Linked DNA regions of Saccharomyces cerevisiae S288C. The protein of the gene in region 1 binds, or shares a complex with, the protein of each later gene. Links are inferred from orthologs where the notes say so. Each region holds a gene or a part of one and is shown on either strand. Other genes may lie near its edges. A codon is read from its position in the direction of its gene.

Evidence for each region.
Region 2: the proteins of TAF12 (region 1) and HFI1 are in contact, whole or in part, in a cryo-EM structure (PDB 6T9I), measured with the Saccharomyces cerevisiae proteins. Residues at the interface, in NP_010429.1 of Saccharomyces cerevisiae: Lys417 (codon at 3,109), Lys419 (codon at 3,115), Leu420 (codon at 3,118), Leu423 (codon at 3,127), Val424 (codon at 3,130), Thr426 (codon at 3,136), Val427 (codon at 3,139), Gly428 (codon at 3,142), Gly432 (codon at 3,154), Asp433 (codon at 3,157), Gly434 (codon at 3,160), Glu435 (codon at 3,163), Thr436 (codon at 3,166), Val437 (codon at 3,169), Ile438 (codon at 3,172), Asp439 (codon at 3,175), Asp441 (codon at 3,181), Val442 (codon at 3,184), Glu444 (codon at 3,190), Leu445 (codon at 3,193), Leu446 (codon at 3,196), Leu447 (codon at 3,199), Asp448 (codon at 3,202), Leu449 (codon at 3,205), Ala450 (codon at 3,208), Asp451 (codon at 3,211), Asp452 (codon at 3,214), Phe453 (codon at 3,217), Val454 (codon at 3,220), Thr455 (codon at 3,223); in NP_015069.1 of Saccharomyces cerevisiae: Arg235 (codon at 2,536), Leu241 (codon at 2,554), Leu259 (codon at 2,608), Ala260 (codon at 2,611), Ser261 (codon at 2,614), His264 (codon at 2,623), Ser265 (codon at 2,626), Leu266 (codon at 2,629), Pro267 (codon at 2,632), Asp268 (codon at 2,635), Phe272 (codon at 2,647), Arg275 (codon at 2,656), Met276 (codon at 2,659), Ile279 (codon at 2,668), Ala280 (codon at 2,671), His283 (codon at 2,680), Gly284 (codon at 2,683), Leu285 (codon at 2,686), Val286 (codon at 2,689), Gly287 (codon at 2,692), Thr288 (codon at 2,695), Val289 (codon at 2,698), Asp290 (codon at 2,701), Arg292 (codon at 2,707), Cys293 (codon at 2,710), Glu295 (codon at 2,716), Leu296 (codon at 2,719), Ile297 (codon at 2,722), Leu299 (codon at 2,728), Ala300 (codon at 2,731).
Region 3: the proteins of TAF12 (region 1) and TAF9 are in contact, whole or in part, in a cryo-EM structure (PDB 6TB4), measured with the Komagataella phaffii proteins. The link is inferred for Saccharomyces cerevisiae S288C from one-to-one orthologs. Residues at the interface, in XP_002491504.1 of Komagataella phaffii: Phe543, Arg546, Leu547, His550, Arg551, Lys552, Arg559, Asp560, Leu563, Arg567, Asn568, Ser578, Asp579, Glu580, Ile581, Arg582, Arg585, Tyr593; in XP_002491029.1 of Komagataella phaffii: Tyr40, Gln48, Asp49, Thr51, Ile52, Tyr53, Ser54, Asp55, His56, Ala57, Ser65, Asn66, Asn69, Ala70, Gly71, Thr72, Glu79, Asp80, Leu83, Ala86, Ala87.

What each region holds. Positions count from the first base shown.
Region 1 is NC_001136.10:744,878-748,631, forward strand, and holds TAF12 (Taf12p), read left to right. Parts: upstream 1-1,860; coding exon 1,861-3,480; downstream 3,481-3,754. Other genes in the region: MKC7 (aspartyl protease), read right to left, coding at 1-1,224; DNA-binding transcription factor SWI5, read right to left, coding at 3,736-3,754. UniProt on the Saccharomyces cerevisiae protein: Functions as a component of both the DNA-binding general transcription initiation factor complex TFIID and the transcription coactivator SAGA complex.
Region 2 is NC_001148.4:67,652-71,405, forward strand, and holds HFI1 (Hfi1p), read left to right. Parts: upstream 1-1,833; coding exon 1,834-3,300; downstream 3,301-3,754. Other genes in the region: BBP1 (Bbp1p), read left to right, coding at 74-1,231; VIK1 (Vik1p), read right to left, coding at 3,412-3,754. UniProt on the Saccharomyces cerevisiae protein: Component of the transcription coactivator SAGA complex. SAGA acts as a general cofactor required for essentially all RNA polymerase II transcription. At the promoters, SAGA is required for transcription pre-initiation complex (PIC) recruitment.
Region 3 is NC_001145.3:740,923-744,050, forward strand, and holds TAF9 (chromatin modification protein), read left to right. Parts: upstream 1-2,048; coding exon 2,049-2,522; downstream 2,523-3,128. Other genes in the region: RNH1 (RNA-DNA hybrid ribonuclease), read left to right, coding at 1-390; GTPase-activating protein RNA1, read right to left, coding at 590-1,813; BCH1 (exomer complex subunit), read left to right, coding at 2,827-3,128. UniProt on the Saccharomyces cerevisiae protein: Functions as a component of both the DNA-binding general transcription initiation factor complex TFIID and the transcription coactivator SAGA complex.

The DNA.
Region 1 (3,754 bases):
ATCAAAGATGATGCTACTCTCTTCTTCCATCTCTTTGATACAATCCATTATGTAGTAACCATATGCAGAAGAGTAAGTAGCTCCGACCTGGTCGGCAAGCATTTTTACCAGCTCAGTTGGCATATACGATATGGTCGTACCTGAATCTAGCAGGACTGGGATCTTTGTAGTGGTTAGGGTTGTCAGATTGTCTTCTTTATCCCCTTTCGACGTACCTAATCCTTGTAAAGTGACTTGGAATTGAATTGGATCCTTGTAGCCGCGATGCTGCAAAGTATTAATGATGGGAATTGTGTATAGGTCGCCCGCATATTTTCCATGATCCACAGCGCCAAACAAAATGGTACCATGTTTCGAATCAGAATCATTTGCGAATAAAGAATAAGCTGTTGATTTTATTACACCCGAATTCTTTAGCACCATCGGAAAGTTATTGTAAGTGTAGCTTTTTTGTACAGAGCTGAGAGAAACACCAGAATAAGTTGACTCCAAGCCAGGCAAACCAATACCCAAGACACCAACTGTTGAGTTTGTTTCGTTTGCTACAGCAAATGATAAACCCGTAATGTTCAAATCGTTCAAGCTCAATTGATCATGGCCCCAGGTACCAGATGCAAAAGTCGTATCACCATAGGCGATCGAAAATTCTGTATTATTGGAGTTGAATGTAGACGACTTAGAGGTATTAAATGTCCCGTATGTAGCGCAGTCAATTAACTGTGATGTAGAAGCTGTACTATCAAAAGTAGCAGTGGCTTCGCTGGTAACTATAGTGGTGTCGTAGCTAATTTCAGTAAACACACTCTCAACCACGCTAGCCAAAGCATCCTTGTTTACTTGTTTAAAGGATGAGCCAGTGGTATCCTTCTTTTTAGTGGAACAGTATGGGTTGTCTGAACCCGTGACCCATAGATCAGAAGAACCAGTGTCGACAAGCACAGTAACTTTTTGAGGAGGGGTGCCAATATCTAATTCCACCGAATAAAAACTGTTTTGATTAGTCAGTTCCACCAGCTCGTAATCATCATCTCTTGTCATCAAACGCGTTCTACCTTTTGTATCATCCAAAGCGTTTTCAAATGAACTGCCGTATTTCTTCTGAAAATTCATTTTGACATAGACTTCATTACTTGGTAAGGATGGAAAATCTGTAACACCGGCATCTACTATTGAGCTGCAGACAAGTAATGCATCTACGACAAATGTGAGGACAGATAATTTCATAGAGCTCTTTCTTTTTCGTTTATTTTTGACGTATTTGCTCAAGCGAATAACGACAAAAGCTTGTTCTCTCGTTGATACTTTTAGCCAATTACAATTTCTTAGCAAGAACGAGTGACGCCAACCAAATTTCTCCCAAAAGTGATTATCTGAATAATGAAAGATGGTAGGAAATAAGGTATTGAAACAGGTTCAAAACTTTAAAAGAAAACTGCCAAATAAACTTTCTCGATGCGTAGCTGAAATTTCAACTTCAAAAAAAAAAAAACGCGTGTAACTTTCTACGTGCAAAACGATGTGTATGAATCCCGTCTTAATTAGTAAATAGGGTCTAGTAAGCGTAGCGAGGATGAATTAAATGCATTGTTGAATATGAAGAGCACCTTATGGTATATAAATGTACAATCTTGATTCATGACAGCTTTGCAAGTAAACGTATCAAATGAATATCACGATTTTGGCTGTATTACCCGGGCAGTATACGCGGCGAATTTTGTTAAAAAATGTGTTAGACTTAAGTCGGAGCAAATGAATAATGGGCATATATAGCGCATAGGTTCGCTAGTGTAAGACAGGAGACTGTCCAATAGCATTCGAATCATAACCGAATCTTTGCCAGTGTGTGTATAAAATACGACAATGTCTTCCAATCCAGAAAATTCTGGTGTTAATGCGAATAATAATACGGGCACTGGTAACGCTGATGCGATCACAGGAGCTCAGCAAAATATGGTACTGCAACCGAGACAGTTGCAAGAAATGGCCGCTAAGTTCAGGACATTACTGACTGAAGCAAGAAATGTAGGTGAAACTACTCCTAGGGGCAAGGAATTGATGTTCCAAGCCGCAAAGATCAAACAGGTATATGATGCCCTTACACTGAATAGGAGAAGACAACAGGCTGCGCAAGCCTACAATAATACTTCAAATTCAAATTCAAGCAATCCAGCTTCTATTCCTACTGAAAATGTCCCTAATTCATCACAGCAACAACAACAACAACAACAACAGACAAGAAACAACAGTAACAAATTTAGCAATATGATAAAACAGGTTCTCACCCCGGAAGAGAACCAAGAATATGAAAAGCTATGGCAGAATTTCCAAGTCCGTCATACGAGTATAAAGGAGAAAGAGACCTACTTGAAACAAAATATTGATAGGTTAGAACAAGAAATAAATAAACAGACGGACGAAGGGCCCAAGCAGCAGCTACAAGAAAAGAAAATTGAACTGCTTAACGATTGGAAGGTGCTAAAAATTGAGTATACCAAGCTGTTCAATAATTATCAAAACAGTAAAAAAACATTCTATGTAGAGTGTGCAAGACACAATCCGGCTTTACATAAATTCTTGCAAGAAAGCACTCAACAGCAACGAGTGCAGCAACAAAGGGTACAACAACAACAACAACAACAGCAGCAGCAGCAGCAACAGCAGCAACAGCAACAGCAACAGCAACAGCAACGCCAGGGTCAAAACCAAAGAAAGATTTCTAGTTCTAATTCTACTGAAATACCCTCTGTAACCGGCCCTGATGCACTGAAATCGCAGCAGCAGCAGCAGAATACAATAACTGCCACCAATAATCCCAGGGGCAATGTTAACACTTCACAGACTGAACAATCGAAAGCTAAGGTAACCAATGTAAATGCAACGGCATCTATGTTGAATAATATAAGTTCGAGCAAATCGGCAATATTCAAACAAACAGAGCCTGCCATACCCATATCGGAAAATATATCTACCAAAACACCAGCACCGGTAGCTTATAGATCCAACAGACCTACAATAACTGGAGGTTCTGCTATGAATGCCAGTGCTTTGAATACACCAGCAACAACTAAATTACCACCCTATGAAATGGATACTCAGAGAGTTATGTCAAAGCGTAAATTAAGAGAGTTAGTGAAGACTGTCGGAATTGATGAGGGTGACGGTGAAACTGTCATTGACGGTGATGTTGAGGAATTACTATTGGATCTTGCCGACGATTTTGTTACTAATGTTACAGCTTTTTCTTGTAGATTGGCAAAACACAGAAAATCGGACAATTTGGAGGCAAGAGACATTCAGTTACATTTGGAGAGAAATTGGAATATTAGGATTCCTGGTTATTCCGCAGACGAAATAAGAAGTACAAGAAAATGGAATCCCTCTCAAAATTATAACCAGAAATTGCAGAGTATCACATCAGATAAGGTAGCAGCTGCAAAAAACAATGGAAACAATGTTGCAAGCTTGAATACAAAAAAATAATTATGTTACCCACATTCTCCACTCTTCCACAGAAAAAATTCCTAAAGTTATAGTTCACATTGTTATATATGTATCTATAAAGCGAAATTTTTTAAAATTAATTGATTAATTAATATTTTGTATCTAAAGTGTTCATACTATATTATTTACTTAGATTATACATAATTAAAAAAAAAAAAAACTTTTTTTCCTTGTTTTCATTTTGTTTTTATTATTAAATATTAAAAAAAGTGTCCATAACATCAATGTTTTTTTTTACCTTTGATTAGTTTTC
Region 2 (3,754 bases), on another chromosome or scaffold:
TGAAGACGAGGAAATCAAAACAACGAAAAAAGTCAATCTTCGAAGGAGCATAGAGGCGAATGACTACTGAACAATGAATCAGGAAGACAACACGGGCGGAGGGGGCATTTTTGGTCTTTTCAAATGGACTAAGGATGCGCTGTTTGGTACGGACATATCACCTTCAATGAAATATAAAGATCAGGAAGAACGAAGAGACCGATCTAGGTATGCCCAAGACGACACAAATTTTTCTATGAAGTTTGGAAATGACTCCAACAGGAGGAGTACAAACTTATCGAGGTCAAATTCGTGGTCTGGTCTGGATTCAACGCTCCATAGGAAGTACGAGTTACTCCCAGAGTACAACGAGAACGGCTTTAACTCAATTGTTAACGGTGACCACCACAGCAAAGAGAGAATACGATCTTTACGAAGTCCTGCTCCGATAGTACCGAGAGAACCACTTCGTAACGAACCTACGGATACATTTGGTCACAGACTACACACAAAAAGGAGAACTATAAATGAGCTTTCCAATTCGCAGATACCCTTTATACCACCTCAGGAAGACGACCCTTTGCTCTCGAAATTATTTAACAAGGATGGAGTTAATGAGGTTAGAAGATCGCCCTATAAGTTATCGGTTAAAGATATACCAGGCAAATTTCCATCTCCCTTAACAAAACGTGATGAAATAGACAATTACTATGTCCGGGACGAAGATGCTTGCCACAAGAATAGAGAGTATAAAAAGGCATATTTTGATCTTTTTGCACAAATGGACTTGAACAGTAGAGACCTGGAAGATTTGTGTGAGGATGTTAGAGAGCAGCGTGAGCAATTCCACAGGAATGAGCAAACTTATAAGCAAGCATACGAGGAAATGAGAGCAGAACTGGTCAACGAGTTGAAGAAATCTAAGACACTCTTTGAAAATTATTATTCATTAGGTCAGAAGTACAAGAGTTTGAAAAAGGTCCTTGATCAAACGATCAGTCATGAGGCTGAACTGGCCACTTCTAGGGAACGGCTGTATCAGGAGGAGGATTTGAAAAACTTTGAAATACAAACATTGAAGCAAAGACTATCCGATTTAGAGCTGAAATATACCAATTTGCAAATAGAAAAGGACATGCAGCGGGACAATTATGAATCCGAAATACATGATTTATTATTACAGCTTAGCCTTCGTAATAACGAGAGAAAAGATACTTCTGCTGGTTCGAATATTTTTTCAACAGGACAATAGGACAGGACTCCATTCCACAATGGAAATAACAGTTACGACTCTAATTCGCATTCATGGGACACTGATTACTTAAAAAATATAGACGGATTCATAGAACGCTGAAGCAGAAAAGCTGACACGTTTCTCCCACTGTAACATTAAAAATACGTCATGATAGCAATGATAATGTGTTAACTACTTAGGTATGTACATTATATAGATAACGGAATAAAAAAAGATACGTTCTTATTATCATCACTCAACACGAGCTGTAATTCCCGCCCATTTTTTCTTCATTATCAGGTTGCGATTTTGAACAAAAAAAGTGAAACTTGAAGTTACGATGTGACATAAATTTGTTAAAATAAAAAAGATAAAATTCAGGATAGAAGTAGGTGCAACGCGAAATTGTCTCTGTCTACTTGTGCCTTGAACATCGAACTTACAACAGATTAACAAAGTATCGTTGCTCTTTTCATTCGTCTGTTCGTTATCATCATTGGATAGGGCTTACTTTCTCGCACGTGATTTTTCCCACAGTATAAATTTTGAGCTATAAGTGGTAATAAAAATTCAATAAAAATATAGGGAAAACAAGCCCAGTAGTTTTGATTTCTTCTATCATGTCAGCTATACAATCGCCAGCACCTAAACCTCTGCAGCCAACTTATCCAGCTGCTTCGCCAGCTTCCACGAATGCATATATGAAGCCGGGCCTAATTGGTAGTCCTGCCGTCAGTAATCATACCGAGCCTAACAATGGTAACAATGAAACTGCGGAGCCTCAGGGACCAAATCAGAGAATTGATTTGGGTGCCATGATCGAAGAATTAACCTCACTATTGGGAAAAGAAAGCTGGACGAAATATGCTCAGATCATCAGTCTTTTCATTTTAGGGAAGTTATCCAGAAAGGAACTTTCTAATGAATTAGAGCTGGTATTTTCACCAAGCGCTGCAAGCTTAGAAAAATCAAATACAAATCATCACCATAGTTTAGTACGACTTCATAACCAACTTTTATTAGGGATTTTTGCTAATTCATTACGTGAAAACCCTCTTGGGAGAAACGGTAATGAGAGTTCTTGGGGATTTGGCAATGGAAGCAACAATCCAAACAATAAACTAAAAAGAATCAATAAGCATAACTCTCAAATTGAAGTCTATAAAAAAATTGTCATGTCGTTACCTCTAAATGATCGAAATAGACTTAAAATGATCACGAAAGAGGCCGGCAAAAGAGGCTTCATTTTTTGCTCTGTATTTCAAGCCAGATTAAATAATATACCCAAAATTCCCATTGTAACCAATCCAGAAAGTTTGAAGCGTGTCAAGAGCAATAATTTAAAAACGCCGCTGGAATGGTCACAAGATATAATGAATGGATTCAACGTTCCTTTAGCGAGCGAAAGCCATTCTTTACCAGACACGGATTCGTTTTACTTAAGAATGGTTGGTATAGCAAGAGAACATGGGTTAGTCGGCACAGTGGACGCACGTTGCGTAGAGCTTATATCATTGGCCCTAGATCAATATCTAAAAAATATAATAGAGTTTACTATTGATACAGTTCGTTATAGAAGGAAGAAATATTCAGATTATTATGATTTGAATGAGAGTGGGCTTTATAAATCCGTATCAGAAATGGCTGCTGATAAACGCGATGCCAAAATTAAGCAGTTAGATGATGATAAAAATGAGGATGAATGTGCCGATGAAGCCAAAAGTATTAATAACGGCAATAACAGTAGCAAGGACGATATTGGCGACATATCAATGAGCAGCATTACAAAGGCTGGCGAAGCAGTTAATGAGGAGTTACATGAAAACAGAACGATATCATTAACGAATGAAGACATATATGATTCGTTATCTATATTTCCGAATTTGGTTGAACCTTCAGGTTCATACTATGCGTTAACTAATTTAGGGCTAGTTAACGATGATGAACTAGTAGATATGAAGAGCAATATTGACGACTTGCCGGACTTCTTAAATGAAAAGCCGACTTTCACGCCTTTGGATGAAAGAAACGTTGGTACAAGGCATGAATTAAATTGGTTAATTAAAGGAATCTTAACGGAAGATTGATGTATAAAAAGTGTGTGTATGCGGTATGTTGTAATTATATTGAAAGATTATAAACCTTATTTGTTTCATATCTAAATGGCTGTGTTAAGAAAGACGATAATGTGACCGAGCTTAAGTGAGCTTTTTCTTTCTTTTACAAAGTTGTGTTTGAACTTCTTCTGAAATCGTTAATAATTTATTGACATTTTTTGAATCGTTCAAGTTTAGCAAGAAAAAGGATTTAGTATCAGAAATTAGTTTTTTCAGAACAAGTGCAATAGGGGTCTCGCATGATTCCTTCTTAAAGATGCTTTTATCAAACTGTTCAATGGACTTCAGATTATTTAACTCGATAAAATAAAAGTCCACCGGTACGGGGTCATTGTTGCCATCGCTTTTTGAATCTCGAGGAAAAAACTGCACCTTGATTATACCCATCCCAGAATGAGGTAAATTTGGGTGTTCATCACAACTA
Region 3 (3,128 bases), on another chromosome or scaffold:
ATTTCAGAACCCTTATTATCGGGAGCTCAAACTAATAATAGAGCTGAAATCGAAGCAGTATCAGAAGCTTTGAAGAAAATCTGGGAAAAGTTAACTAATGAAAAGGAAAAAGTAAATTATCAAATCAAAACTGATTCAGAGTACGTAACCAAATTATTAAATGACAGGTATATGACGTATGATAATAAAAAACTTGAAGGGCTACCTAATTCTGATTTAATTGTTCCTTTGGTGCAGAGGTTCGTTAAAGTTAAAAAGTACTATGAGTTGAATAAAGAGTGCTTCAAAAATAATGGTAAATTTCAGATTGAATGGGTAAAAGGACACGATGGTGATCCAGGAAATGAAATGGCAGATTTTCTGGCGAAGAAAGGAGCATCTAGACGATAATGCTGTTTTTTGCTTGGCTTCTTACTGGACCTGTTGTACCTGTAATAGAAATATATATTTTATATCTTTTGCATACATATACATACATCAGCTATTTGGTTTTTTAACTTACCCGATAACTATCTATAAGCGTGTCACCATGATATTTGCCTGAACCTCGTCCACAGTTGATTGTGTTTATTTTTACTTTTATTCATAGCTATTTGATTTCAGTTTCAGCTAAACGTTCAGCAAGATCATCTACTTGTACTTCTAGCAGTTCCTTTTCAAGCCTTTCCGTTTCAATTTCTTCGAGTTTTTCATCCTCGTCCTCGTCTTCCTCGTCCTCGCCTTCCTCATCTTCACTATCGACCTCTTCAAAATCGTCAACCTCTAAATCATCAAATTTGCTTTGGAGCAAATCTAAAGCATCAGAATCTTCATCTAATCTGTTACCATTTATTTCTAGCTTTTCCAATTCAGGTAAATTTCCCTTTTCCATAGCCGGTAAGAAGGATACTTCAATGGTTTCTTGAGCCATTTCATTATATTCGAATTTCAAGACATGCAAATTGGGGAATTTAACTTCGGTGAATACTTTAAAGACTTCATCTGAACCAGCAGTTTTCAAAAGACAGTCGTTCAAATTCAATTCAAATAAACTATCCTTCCATGTAGGCAAGGCCTTAGCAAGGATCAAAGAAGCATGTTTCGTGAAAGTATTGTCTTGAAGATCCAAGATTTCCAAGTTTTTCAAGTACTGTAAACCGTAATGAATTAGCGTGGCGACACCTTTAGGCCTAATACCATTTTGGTACAGCTTTACGACTTTCAAACCTTCGGAGTGGCTTTTCAAACCCAGAGCTAAGTAGACTGCGGATCCATTCTCTAATCTATTTCTACCACAGATAAAAGTTTCCAAAAATGGTTTGGAAGCAGCTTTCTTATTTTGAGCGAGATGAAATAGGGCCTTACCAATCCTTTCACCAGCAAAAGGGCCCATACCATTGTTACTTAAGATCAAATGTTTGATATTCACGGCATGTGCAATGTAATCTTCTAGTAACTCGATTGTTCTTAGCCCAAACGCATTATCAGAAAGGTTCACAATCTCCAAGTGAGGACATTTCAACAGAACAGGCAATAAAAACTTCAACGAATCAACGACTTCGTCAACCAACCTCGAAGTGTATAAGTCAGCAAAATTTACTTCAACCAAAGATTCCCTGACCTGTGTATTTTCAGCGATGCATTTAGCTAATGCTTCCGAAGCTTCAGTACCGATTGTATTCCCTGAAAGGTCTAATTTGGTACAGGTTTTCAAAGCTGCCAATTCTTCCAGGTATGGTTTGATATCGTCACTGGTTGTTAACTTGAGTGCCTTCCCAGAGATGGAGTAAACTTGTTCTTCCTCGTGCTGAGGAACGAAGTGCAAGGTAGCCATAGCTAAAAATCTGTTTCGAAAGACAGCCTGTTAAAATGGCCTATATTCACCTTTTACCGTGATATTATGCCTTTGATCAATATCTTCCTAATAAATTTTTTTCCATTAATTGTCCCACAACGTGCATAGTGACATGCATTCCATGACCAAACTAAGAGCTTTAAATCAAAAGTAGAATTTGACATTATGAAACAACACGACAACAAGAAAAGACTAGAGGACTTCACAGACCATTATGAACGGCGGAGGCAAGAATGTTTTGAATAAAAACTCAGTGGGCTCAGTATCAGAAGTTGGTCCGGACTCAACACAAGAGGAAACGCCACGAGATGTCCGTCTTTTGCATCTGCTCCTCGCATCACAGTCGATTCATCAATATGAGGACCAAGTACCGCTACAATTGATGGATTTTGCACATAGGTACACACAAGGAGTCCTTAAGGACGCGTTGGTTTACAACGACTACGCTGGCAGTGGAAATTCTGCCGGCAGTGGATTAGGAGTAGAAGACATACGGCTTGCCATTGCAGCGAGAACACAATACCAATTTAAGCCTACGGCACCTAAGGAGCTCATGTTACAGTTAGCTGCGGAAAGAAACAAGAAGGCATTACCTCAAGTGATGGGTACGTGGGGTGTCAGGCTTCCCCCAGAAAAATATTGTCTCACAGCGAAGGAGTGGGACCTTGAGGACCCAAAGTCTATGTGAATGCACCGCTTATATATCATAAGTACACTAAATCAAGTTCTTCCGGAAGATGCGTCATGTAGAATGCATAATAGAGTAATATACACTAAATAATGCGCTAGTCGTGTATCGTGATCATGTTCTCTAATGTTCTTTTTCCTGCCTGCCCTTTCCTACATGGAAAGTTAGAGAAATGAGATCTACACGATAATGTAGTAACAAATGGACCCTTAAACATCTCAATTCATCTTCTTGAGAGCACTTTCCGCGCTGTATTGATTTTTAGAACGTGAAAAGGATAAACTGAAAACTTGAAGTCCTAACCATGTTGTCTCAAACCTCCATACCGGAAGTGAAAGAAGACGTGATAGGCTATGCGCTACACCAGAGGAGAGCCAGAGTGGGACAATTCCAAGACTTGGGTCCGCCTGATTTAATTACTTTGATCAAATCGTTACCTTCATCCTCGAGCACAACAACTGCTACTGCCTCCGCCAACGATAACGGAGCAACTTCAAACATCAATGGACAAGATCCTACGACCATAGTTACGGAGTTACATTCCCATGACAAATTAAAGGGGCAGATCGGCACTTTCTTTTACTGTATGGGTATCGATACTTCGGA